3 linked regions of the Daphnia pulex genome follow. The protein of the gene in region 2 purifies or fractionates together with the protein of the main gene of each other region. This does not show direct contact. Links are inferred from orthologs where the notes say so. Each region holds a gene or a part of one and is shown on either strand. Other genes may lie near its edges.

Region 1 (3,518 bases), on a different chromosome or scaffold from region 2:
TACCAGCCAGGGGACGTGAAGAAATCAAACACAGGACAGAAGACACCTTTCTCTTTGTTCATTACAAGTTCAAATGTTCAAGCACTATTAAAAGTTTTGTAAACGTTTTTTCAAGACACCTATTTCGAGTTCTTGCTGCTGTGACTGCACGAGGCAATTTGAATATGAATAAATTATCGTTTCTCCCACTCCTCCCGAGTTTGGACGCAGGGTTGCCAATTTGAATTATTTTACCCCCAAATAGATAAATAAAATATCAAATGTCAAAATTGAAATATTTCAAACATTCAACACTAGAACACTATCACTCAAATTTTAACTAAAAAAAAATTTTTAAGTGCTGTTACACGTGGGCAAAAGCTTTGTAATTCCGCCGATTACTTCATGAGGGTTAAGGTTACACAAATAGTGTCCACCGATCAATTCAAAGTTCGAATCATTTCATTTTCCAACATCACACGATTTGGACGTCAATTTAAAATCGAATCCAAAAGTAAAATGGAGGGTTTTTCATTATCATACCAAAATCAAAATGAAAAATTATATTTTTTCCCCATCATGGACAGAGGGTGAGAGTTTTCGCACAGCCAACTCGACTAAGCACACAAGTACACAAAAAACGACCTATGAAATAGGGCACCTAAGGAAGAAAAAAAAAACTTTTGTTGTTTTTGAAAAGTAGTAAGACAATTGTTTGTCTGATGAGAGGTTTTGTAGTTTTTTGAAAGAAGTGGCGAGTGAAAATACGAGAGAGAAGGAGAATAGACAATAAGGAAAGACATTAGTATTACTTCTATAAAAGTGTATAAGAGTCTTACAAATCACGCATCACTGAATTCACCAGTAGAAAGAACGCTGCAAAAATGTAGCAGCTGAATTTATCCAATTACTTGCAACTTCTGAAATGCCGTGAGGTGCTAATGCTTTGTCGGAAGTCTCTGTGGGTACGTCGTGATCATCCTCTGGTAGGTAATCAGGAAGGGGCGTACTTGATTTCCTCTCTGATGACGATAAAACTTTGGGTTAGAAACTATACATCATTATGTATGCCATTACCAAAGTATATACCGTCTGTACCGTCGTCTTCGGAGTAAGCCTCTCCGATTGCTTTCAACGTCTCTTCTCCCAGTTCGTTCTTGCAAACTAGGAAAGCACGCATCGTTTGTGTCTTACGAACAGCTTGGCCAACAGATTCTATATTCAGATCTGGACGGGAGCGTAAGGTGACACGGGAGTTGGTGGCATCGAAAACGATGGAGATAACTCCCTGAACTTTAATGAGCTGTCGCTCTAAAAGTTCACGATCCTCCTATTGAAAACAAACAAAAGAATATTTATTGACTATGAAATGGGCATCATCCTAATTTGCGTACCTGGTTGGTAGTGAGACCTGTTACTTTTACAGTAATCGTTTTGGCTTTTGAATTGTATTTAAGAAAACGGTGACCTCTGTCACTATGAGAACTAGTATCTAGTGCACCAAACAAGCCTTCATCATCCACAGCTTCTTCAGTGGAAGGAATCCTTTCCACTTTTGGCTGAGCTGTGCTTTTGACCTTGTTTCCATAAGATGAGTTCTTTGAAAACTTGAGAGCTGTAAATATATCGGCAGCACTGTTGGCAATTTCTTCACCAAACTCTTCAGCACCATCAGCTGTCGCTTGAAGTGCTTCAAGCACACCAAACACAGCTGCCAACTTTTGACGGTGTCTTTGTGTGTCAGACAGCAATTTCAGCGTTTCTAGGGCTAGACTGACTACTTCTACATTCTTTTCGCCAAGAACATAAGCCAGGAATTGTATGCTAGTTTCATCCTAATAGAACAAGAATTAACATTTAGGAATTCAAATTACTGGACGACTTTGGCGAATACCTGGATTAGTGTTCCTCGTTTGCTGGGATCTTCAGCGATGTTACGATAAGCCTGAACCGTGACTAGAGCAGTACTACTTATGTCTTCCATTCTGCCGTCATTAAATCCTGAGGAATAAAAACAAAAATTTGTATTGAATTCAACATCAAGCAATAAAATTCTATATTCTATGCTTTTATTTTCCAAATCTCGAGAAAATGAATCAGCATTAACGAAACTAACCTCATGTTTGTTGATCATAACAAGGGGTCCTTTCTCAAAATGGATCCTGTACAGGCCGAGGTAACTAGCCGCTAGATGGCTCAGCTGTCCTCATTACGTGTAAAAATATACTGTTAAGCGGAACTGTTTTATCCCACTGTTACCATACCAGTTTCCAAAACAACAATCATCACGTCATGCATCACGAAATTTTGAGGTCAGTGACACATTTCTGAAGTAAAAAAAAAATGGTATTAAAATAATTGGTCGTTGACCTATAAAAATGTAAAAGCCGAGTGCGTAGTAGATGGTAAATGATTTATTGACATCACTGTAGACGACGCGGGAAAATGAATAACAAAATCTCACAAGACACTTTGAAATCGAACACGGGGCTGATTTGCAGATAAACATAAATCAAAATTTGTCGAGTAACGTGTAAAAAAGATGCTTAGATTTCGTTGAAGATGCAAATTTGTAGCTGAAAATGGAAAACAAATCAACAGAAGAAGAAGAAAGGAGCCCAGGTTTTTGAAATTTCTTGGTCCAGATCATTGCGCAGATTCGCGGAAGAAACTGCTTCACTTTTGGTAGGTATTGCTCGCACAATTCAAGTCATAGATATATCAAACACGCACACAAGAGACAATTCCATCATTGCATAAATCATCAAGATATTTTGATTGCAACAACGCACACTATTTTGAAAGATTCATCGTTATCACATTATGAAAATAGAATGATGTATACCATGCATATGTAAAACAAAAGAAAATAATAAATTGGGGTCATAGGGAAGACGAATAGTAGAACCAATAAAAGAATGATCACTGCATGCCGCCATCATCATCATCATCAAAATAATAATAATATTAATATACAGTAGAGAATGAGATTTTGTCTTATTATTATTTTCTTCTTGTTCCATTCTACTACAAACCGAGAGAGAGAATTTTCTTTCGTGCTTTCAGCGTGTCCTTGGCGGACGAGTCTTTGTGGCATTCCCTCATGCGCAAGCGAGTGGGAGTGGAGCGACCGGAGGCGGAACCCGACGATCCAGGAGGAGTGTGGTGGTGGTGATGATGAGCCATCGATTCGCCTCTGGGCCGCAGGATGAAATTCAAATCGCAACTGGTATTAATGGCGTAGTACACGTTGGCGTTCGAAGGCAGCACCATTTCTATGTTTTCGGGAATTAAATAAAATGGAATGAAATCATTTCCGATCCATCCATCCATCTGCATTAGAGTGACACGTAAAAAGAACCTACCTCCTTTGGGTAGGAGCTGAGCCAGTGTATAATCCTCGGGATTACCCTCGAGACCGTGTTTGACCATGGCGTTGCGGATGACCTGAGGACTCCGTTCGTGATTGCTGACCATGATGGACTTGTAGAGGTTGATGCCCTCCGTCTCTTTGGATGGGGTGGCGATGGAGACGCGAA
Region 2 (4,275 bases):
CATGGAGGTCACAACATTGTCGAATCGTAATGTTCCATATTTAGGCTAATGGATTTCAAAAGAAACAATTAACAATCTATGTAATTCAAATATTTGTCCAATTCAACAACTCGATCTTACCTTATTGACAGCGTCTCGAGTAACAGCGATTTTGTGGGTCGGAGAGCGAATTTCTGTGATGGCTGAAGCCATTTGCACAGTTGCGTTAAAATCCACTTGATAATTCGATTCCCTTAATTGAAAAGGAAAAACAAAATTGAGTTGATTTTATCTATAATGTTCACAGAGACGAAATAGTTACTAACGTTGAATATTTGATTGAAGCTAGATCGGCTGCAGTGCTGGATTTATCGGTTGGAGGAATGTAACGAGGAGCGATAGTAGTGGGTAAGTAAAACCGAATTTCTTTACCCTCTACTTTTAATTCTGTGACGTAAGTCAAGCGGATTTTGGCTCCAGATCCAGGTGCCAAATTACCAACTTTAGCCTTTGAAAATTGTCATTGAAAGATCAGAAAAAAACAAAACAAATACCATTGCATGACAACTGTTAAGTTTACCTTGAATACATCCGGCAATTTTTCTTCAACTAAAAATGCCGAGTGTCCGCTCTTAATTGCCTCGTCATAATCGGCTTTAGCTTGTTCCGTTTCCTTTACGACACCTTCGATTACACGCCCATCTACTTCGGCAGTGAACATAGAAACTCCAGCCCCTGTGATTCATGAAGCAGCAGTTAATTTCTATAACTAAATGTTAATATTACTTTAAACTGCAATACCTTCATCAAGAGGAAAGAGATAAACTGCTTCAATGGGTTGATTTTCCTTGTTGACATATCGTTGCTCAATGGTGACCTCGGCAACCAAATCGACGATACGAGCCTGAACCGAAACCCCGATCAAAGGAACCGGAATTGACTCACGTTCGGCACGTTCAATTATCAAACCACAACATATCATTTTGAAGCTTCAAAATGGTAGAACTCTGGAAAACAAGTAACAATTTCTTTACAATTCATTTGGTGTAGTCAAATATTAAAAAAAAACATTCGGAAATTATGTTGGTACTAAACTGAGTATATCAGGTTAACATCTACGTAATACGTGAACTCAGAACTTACTTACTTATACTAGAAGCAGCAACTGCAGACTGTAGCTGTACGGTTCTTTCTGTGAAATGTCACTAACTTCCAAACTAAGCACGTCACTTCTCTTATTAATGTATGGTGTCGCCCACGCCCCTCAGATGACGGTTTGAATCAGCACTAATAATAACATATGGCTGAATGGCTGAATGCGAAAATGGTTTTTCCACTGAAAAAGACTTGCAGACTTTTGGGCCGTATTGTTTTGTTTAGGAGTTCGTGAGTCATAATAACAAACATATAGCCACCTGCCGAACAAAACCTCAAAAAGTATGGTTTACTTAAAAAGTGTCAAATAACACCGCTAGGTGGTAGACATGTTCGACGCAATCGGACCGGCTCTTCAGTCTTCACGTTTTCGTGTAAACGTTCGTAACTGAACAACTAGTTTCGCGATTTTTTTCGTCCAATATGGATGATGAAAATGAAAGATTGGAAGAAGACTTTTATCAGTTCCTCAATTTACCAAGAGATGTAAGCCTTTCATTTTTTTAAGCATGTACGTTGATGTATTTAAGGACGCTTGTGAGGCGAAAAATCAAAACATGTGTTATCAGTGTGTTTTGCACATGACTTATTTTGTTTATCACAAGATTTAACATATTTTTTTAAATCATTAGGCTCCACAAGAAGAGATAACAAATGCTTACAGAAGGCTGAGTCGCATCTATCATCCAGATAAACATACAGATCCCCTCAGAAAGAAGGAAGCTGAAGTGTTATTCAACAAAACTAAAAGAGCATACGAGGTTCTGAGTGACCCCCACAAGCGAGCCATTTATGACAGCTTGGGAACCAAAGGGCTTGAAACTGAAGGATGGGAAATTGTACAAAGGACAAAAACTCCACAAGAAATTAGAGAGGAGTATGAGCTCCTTGCTCAGCAAAAAGAAGAGCGCCGGCTCCTCCAGAGGACCAATCCTCAAAGCTCCATTACCGTCAACATTGATGCCACTGAACTCTTCAGTTCTTATGAAGATGCATATGATGATGAATTTGGGTAAGCTAAGAAGAACTTATTTATTATGTGCTCCTTCACTGAACCATATGTTACATTTACAGACCTCCTGGTGATTTTTTTCCATCTATTGTGGTCAAAGGCATGAACTTTTCTCAGTCTATTCAAGCACCTCTCACCTTAACTGACACAGCTTACTTGTCTGGTAATCTATCATAATTTTTGACATGGATAATGGGGTTTTAATTAGTGTTTATTGGCCATAGGTGAGCTTTCAACACACAAGGGTTCAGGTTCTGGTTCAGTAAATGTGTCATTGAGAAGAATCACTTCTCCTGATGGATGGGCAGAAGTTGACTTAGGATTCGGTAACGGTCTTTCTTTTTCTGCCAAGGGATTCCGCAATCTGACTAAACGGATGTTTACAAATATTTCTGGAATCCTAACTACCACTGACGAAGGCTTGAGTTTTGGCTTTGTGTCAAGTAAGTTGTCATAACTTTAAAAAATTCTTATGCTCTTTTTGTAATGATTGTTATTGGAATTTAAGCATTGGCACATCAGCTAGATAAAAATACGGTCGGTTATCTAACTTACAAAAACTCACAGTCTAGCTCGATGAGCACAAGCATAGTAAAAGAGACTACAACATATAGGACACAAGTAAATTTTGTTCTTGGAATCCCGCACTCGTTTATTTCAATGTCCTACTGCCACAAACTTGAAAAGCATGAAGGGAGATTACGAGCAACTGTCAAGTCAGTATTTATTTTTGTGCATCATTTTTTCTATCAATGATTTAAAATTTATTTTTTTATGTACAGAGCCGGAACCTTTGGAGCTATGTTAGAATATGGTCTTCAGCGTAAAGTATCACAGCATAGTTCACTAGCAGTTTCAATGACAGTCGGAGTTCCGACTGGCGTAAGACTAAAGATAAAGTATTGATTTCACCCTTTTCGAATGTGTAGCGATAGCTTGTATACTTGATGTGTGTTCAATTTTCACTAGATTACTTCGAGGGAACCAAATTTACGCTTTTCCTATTCATTTGTGTCATGAAGTGCTACCAAGCCCAATATTTTATGGAACTGTTACACCAATGATTGCATGGATCATCGTCCGCCGCTTGGTCGTGGAACCTTACATGCAACAACAGAAAGTCAAAGATATAGAGAGACATCGAGCTATGCATCACGCCCAGTTAGTTGAACTTTTATGATTTTTCTTCTTTTCTTACAATAGTAACCAATTTCTTGCCTTATAGAATGCTAGCTCGTCGGAGAGAAGCCGAGATATCCATCGATTTAATGAAAGAAACATTTAGACGGAATGTCGAGGACGAAGAAAACAAGAAAGGTTTAATTATCACAAAATCGATTTACGGTCGGTGGTTAGATCTAAGCCACCGTGATCTCGGCGATGCCATCACCGACGTTACCATCCCGCTCCAATGCCTAGTCAGGGATTCTAAGCTTATACTTCAAGAGGCATCTAAGGTAAGAGTACTTCAAAATAGATTCCAGAAAAGAAAGTTTTTAAACAATGTTTTTGTCTCATCACAGTGCCAGCTTCCAGGTTTCTATGATCCATGCATGGGAGAAGACAAGTCCTTATATGTACAGTATTCCTTCCATGGAGTTCCACATGAAGTAACAATCCAAGACACAGACCCTCTGCGGATACCCAAGCAGTGTAATTCTAGTCAATCAAGTTATTTTACAAATTTACACGCAAATTAATTTCTGTCTGTTATGCAGCTCACAGGAAACAGCTCTGAAACGACAAGGCAATAGATAACATTTTAAAATGATGATGATGGACTATCAGTAGACATTACAAGTGTTGATTTAATCTTACAACTGTGTTGAGTCATCATTTCACACTTTAGTTTATTCAAGTATATTTCATGACTGTAAAATAGATTTCTCTAGTGTAAAATCATAACACAGAGAGTCCCAGTCAATTTCTTTAAGCATTTTAGGTTTATGCTTGACAGTGGAACCATTTAACCACATCGAATTGTAAGCTGGGGAGAACTGGAAAGGGATTTCATCATATAGCTTGTTAGATGAAATGTCCTGTTGATTGCTGGAGGCATTTGAATTGATAGCATATGGCAAAGGACCTGAAATAGAAACCCAAACTAGTGTAAGTCTTAATTTCTCATT
Region 3 (4,116 bases), on a different chromosome or scaffold from region 2:
TTACAGTTGTTGTATGAAAGGAAAAAACAAAAAAACAAAAATCAACCTGCAAATAAGAGAGCGCATAACGAAGGATCGATCCACCATTCTCATCAATCAGAGCTACACGTCGACAAACTCTTTCAACATTCAAGAAACGTTCCTGAAAAAAAAAGAGTAAAATTTAAACGTAAAAAATACTTCAACAAGAAAATATTTCAGGGCGTTACCTTCAGAGCACCTTGGGGAAGGATTCCTTGATCTAGAGCGGTTGGTGGGATGGATTCGATGACTGCCAGAGCAAATTCATCATTGTTGTTTAGTGCTTTGTTCAAACTACTCAGATTGAGAGGGTGGCGTTGCTCATTCCATGGCAAATGGACTGAATTGTTACTGCGCAGGGACTCGATCATCGATTGAGCTGCAATCCATAGCTCACGAACTTGACGAGAAACTCGGTCCTTTTCGGCGCGGTCATGGATCGCGTCTTGAATTCCTTTGCCCATTCCGTGAAGCTTCGCCAGGTTTTCATGATGGGACGCCAACAACTTTGCGACTTCTAGTTCACGTTCAGCATCAAATGTTCGCTTTAGTTCTAGACGTTGCGTCTTTAGAGTGTCATTTAAGTGATCAGTATAAGCAGCAGCTTGGAGTTTAAGCTGCTGAGTAAACTGATCCGACAAGGTTTTTTCATGAAACGAAATCTGTTAAAGAAATCGACACACACATTAATGGAATGATTTGTTTAAACAATAATGGGCGGTATAACTCACATCTTGATTATATTTCGCTTTTAGTTCGTAGTATTGTCTTTCCAATTCGACTCGTAAACGGGATTCCAGAACCGAATGGTCTTCTTTTCTCTGGGTATCTAAAGCTCCTTTCAGGCGCTGCTGCTCACAAGACTAGATATACAAATTTTAATTGCTGTAAATTTTTGTAAAAAAACAAAAAACAAAAAAAAAAAAACATTTAAACTAACCTGTTGCCTGGCTAGTTCTTTTTGCAACGTTATTATCTTCCAATAGGCATGGGCCATCAAAATATTGATTTCCTCTTCACCCAACTTGGAACCTTCGGTTTTAAAACTGGGTGCCAATTCAGGACGAATGGAAGATAACTCCATCTTGAATAATGCAAACCAAAGACGTTGAAGTTATAAATTTTTGATAAATATTCAATTTGTTACCTGCAAGTTGTGCCTAGCAGTATCAACAAGTTCACGATATTCATCCATAACTTTGGCTTCAGACTGAGCCGCTTCAACTCGTGCTTTTGCAGTTTCCAAACTAAATACCAAACATTATAGCCACTGGAGGTTTTGAAGCAACATTCACAAATACGTACCTATAGAGAGCACGGGCAACGCTTTCGTCAAAAGTAATTAGGTCAGGTGTTTGTATACTTTGGTCATTCTTTAAGCCATGAGCTACAGCTTCTTTCAGCTGAGCTACGGCCATTCTGGCATCATGAGCTCGAGACTCGGCAACATGCACAGCTTCATTTTTATCGTGTGTCGCCATGAAGACCGGCTCCCAAATATTTTCATGTGTTTGACCAGGCTCGTAAATCTTTTCTAGTGACTTGAAGACCAATTCAACATGCTCTACAAAAGATAAAATAATATAAAATAATTGTTAGTCTGATTATTTAGGAGACGGTTACTTTTGATGGAGCATGCAGCCATATCTTGGGCTGCAACAGCTTCTTTAACAGCGTCAGAAGCTTTGGCATGAAATTCCTTAAGCAAGTCCCCAAATTCGGCGGGAGTTAATTCTGATAAATTAACTGCAACTTTTTCGAGAACCTAAATTATAGGAAAAATAACTAAAGATTTTTGTTTTTTGAAGTTTTGATGTACAAATCTGAAAGTTTCTCACCTCTACAGCTGAACTATCAGGTTCAGATTCATTTACTACTTTAATATTTTCATCTGTTTTTACCTGAATGCAATTTGGAAGTCAAACATAAGGTATAAGCAAATAAAATAAAAAACAGTTTACTTCTGGGTCTAAATTTAAAGATTCTTCAACACTTGATTGATCATTGTCACAAAATTCTTCCACAGATTTTATGACATCGAAGTCTGGGGGTGGTAAATCGATTGAGGATATGGGTAGCTCTTGTGGGCTTGATTCTTCCACAGGATTGATGGGCAGCTCATCTAGGAGAGAAAAAAATTGCTCCAAATGTACAAGAAAATAATTCAAATGTTTATCTACCATCTTTTTTCTTGAGTGCTTCTCGTTCCAATTTTTTCTTTAAAAGTCCATCTTCCTTTACTCTGAAGCAAATAAGTTTAAATAAATAATCAATAAAAGTCTAGAAACAAAACTGATTATACTTGACAGGATGCTCAAGTTTTGGTAAATGGGAAACTGAAGGTCCCAGTAGTAAATTGAACAGAAATGAGGTTCCAGGAATATTTTTTTCAGAAAATTTCCTAAAACCATCACTTGTTTTGGCTAAGACAACAGAACCACCAACAGTTGCTAGAATAGCAGCTCCACCAATGGTTAAAATTTTGCTTCCAGATCTACAAATGAAATTATTACAGCATCTGGTATAAAAACAACTTACGAAAAAAATACACCGGTTACATTTGATTTGATTTTCGGCTGTTTATGTTCCGGCGGATAATTTGTCTTCCGTTTTGCAATGATACCTTCGACTGAGAACAAATTCTAACTGGTGCCTTCCACATTCCTGAAAAATGATCTAACTTTTCCTTGGATCTTCAAATGATGGAAGAAAATATTCCTGCCACTGTTGTAGTCTCGGAGTAATTAAGGGACAACAGACGACAAATATGACTCAAGTAGTAGTTCTTGTTAAACAGCATCCATCAGATAACGTGAACACATTTTGTGCCAAATCCCAAATTTTCTTGGAAAATGTTTCGAAAATTAACTCATTCCTTTTAATCCAGAGCTCGGCTAACATTAGAAAATAAATTCCTAATTTGTTTATTGTATAACTTGAAAGTGAAAGATTTTAGATTTAGAGCAAAATCAACCACCAGCATATGTTGTTCATGTAATTCGAAAGAATATTTTGCTATTTTCCAAAGATTTCAACATATTTGTTATTTAAATTTGTTCACAATTTGTATAATCAATATAGATGCCAGTCAGAATGATCTACATCTGATATGTAGGCCTATCACATTTAACCCTGCATTGGATGATCCAATTTGGATAATCTTGGATGTTTATGAATGTTTAATTCATAAAAGAAATTCAATTAGCTTTTTGACTTATAGTAAAAGTGAATTTAGAAGAAACCATGAAAAATGCAATTTTAATTCATGTAACAATATGTTGTTTTTATTTTTTTTATTTTTTCCCTTCTACCATTATAATGTGGTACCCAAATTTAGTTTTAACAGGTGGATCTGTGTAGACAGGATTACCCAATGATGAAATTGGTAGAGCAAAGGCAGCTTCTTGAAAAGGGCCAACCATAGATCCTCTAACCATCCATCCAAGGTCCCCCTATTTTAATATACAATAAAAAATGTAATAAGCAATTAGCATAATACTTGATTAACACATTGATTAACACTTACTCCTGATCTTGCTTTATCCTCACTGTATGTTGCAGCAACTTCATTGAATTTCATACCAGCTTTAAGCTTTTCAAGTGCTTCTAGAATTTTTGATTGCTTTTCACACAAAATGTGTCTAACCTATGCAAGAATAATATTTAAAAACATAATCTTATTTTATTGAAATATATCTTATTTTACCTTAATCGTACTCCCAGTTCCTCCTTTTTTGTCTTTACCCTTGTCATCATCTCCTCCTCCTCCTCCAGCACCTTTCGACTTTCCTAAATAGTCAATGAAACTTTATAAACGCTTATTTTCACAGTAGTAGAAACTTCTGAATTCTGACATATCCTTTTAGGTGTAAACAAATATTTAAAAAACACAACTATTTCACAAGGAAACTAATCAAACTATATGTACCAGCAGCTGCTGCTTTTTTAGGTGGCATAGCTATTATAATTCCCAATTCAAAATTCTAATCTTTTTATGAAAAAAAAAAATCAAAAGTCAAGAGTCAAGATTTTAGAACAATTACAAACGCGCTTTTCTGCGTTTTCAATTTTTGTGTCGTCTGCTCTGTGTCGACT

The links.
Region 1: the proteins of dnaJ homolog subfamily C member 11-like (region 2) and armadillo repeat-containing protein 1-like purify together in Homo sapiens (affinity purification with mass spectrometry; 4 studies listed by BioGRID and IntAct, counting the BioPlex papers as one, with this or other methods). This does not show direct contact. The link is inferred for Daphnia pulex from reciprocal best matches to the Homo sapiens genes DNAJC11 and ARMC1.
Region 3: the proteins of dnaJ homolog subfamily C member 11-like (region 2) and MICOS complex subunit MIC60-like purify together in Homo sapiens (co-immunoprecipitation; 3 studies listed by BioGRID and IntAct, with this or other methods). This does not show direct contact. The link is inferred for Daphnia pulex from reciprocal best matches to the Homo sapiens genes DNAJC11 and IMMT.

The regions. Positions count from the first base shown.
Region 1 is NC_060021.1:11,826,116-11,829,633, reverse strand, and holds armadillo repeat-containing protein 1-like, read right to left. Parts: upstream 2,249-3,518; 5' UTR 2,096-2,248; intron 1,981-2,095; 5' UTR 1,964-1,980; coding exon 1,874-1,963; intron 1,815-1,873; coding exon 1,374-1,814; intron 1,310-1,373; coding exon 1,078-1,309; coding exon of another isoform or gene 1,069-1,077; intron 1,017-1,068; coding exon 838-1,016; 3' UTR 528-837; downstream 1-527. Other genes in the region: ral guanine nucleotide dissociation stimulator-like 1, read right to left, coding at 3,007-3,254, 3,345-3,518.
Region 2 is NC_060019.1:1,093,555-1,097,829, reverse strand, and holds dnaJ homolog subfamily C member 11-like, read left to right. Parts: upstream 1-1,468; 5' UTR 1,469-1,557; coding exon 1,558-1,620; intron 1,621-1,766; coding exon 1,767-2,146; intron 2,147-2,208; coding exon 2,209-2,309; intron 2,310-2,370; coding exon 2,371-2,589; intron 2,590-2,654; coding exon 2,655-2,862; intron 2,863-2,928; coding exon 2,929-3,045; intron 3,046-3,115; coding exon 3,116-3,307; intron 3,308-3,371; coding exon 3,372-3,603; intron 3,604-3,669; coding exon 3,670-3,799; exon of another isoform or gene 3,800-3,864; coding exon 3,865-3,884; 3' UTR 3,885-3,963; downstream 3,964-4,275. Other genes in the region: von Willebrand factor A domain-containing protein 5A-like, read right to left, coding at 1-45, 121-232, 306-487, 560-714, 781-961; uncharacterized protein LOC124190903, read right to left, coding at 4,012-4,232.
Region 3 is NC_060018.1:5,994,747-5,998,862, reverse strand, and holds the start of MICOS complex subunit MIC60-like, read right to left. Parts: upstream 2,812-4,116; 5' UTR 2,684-2,811; coding exon 2,580-2,683; intron 2,516-2,579; coding exon 2,324-2,515; intron 2,264-2,323; coding exon 2,202-2,263; intron 2,144-2,201; coding exon 1,983-2,143; intron 1,923-1,982; coding exon 1,860-1,922; intron 1,787-1,859; coding exon 1,645-1,786; intron 1,586-1,644; coding exon 1,327-1,585; intron 1,269-1,326; coding exon 1,169-1,268; intron 1,106-1,168; coding exon 962-1,105; intron 885-961; coding exon 753-884; intron 684-752; coding exon 210-683; intron 143-209; coding exon 47-142; intron 1-46. Other genes in the region: peptidyl-prolyl cis-trans isomerase NIMA-interacting 4-like, read right to left, coding at 3,315-3,473, 3,548-3,667, 3,728-3,810, 3,950-3,977. UniProt on the Homo sapiens protein: Component of the MICOS complex, a large protein complex of the mitochondrial inner membrane that plays crucial roles in the maintenance of crista junctions, inner membrane architecture, and formation of contact sites to the outer membrane.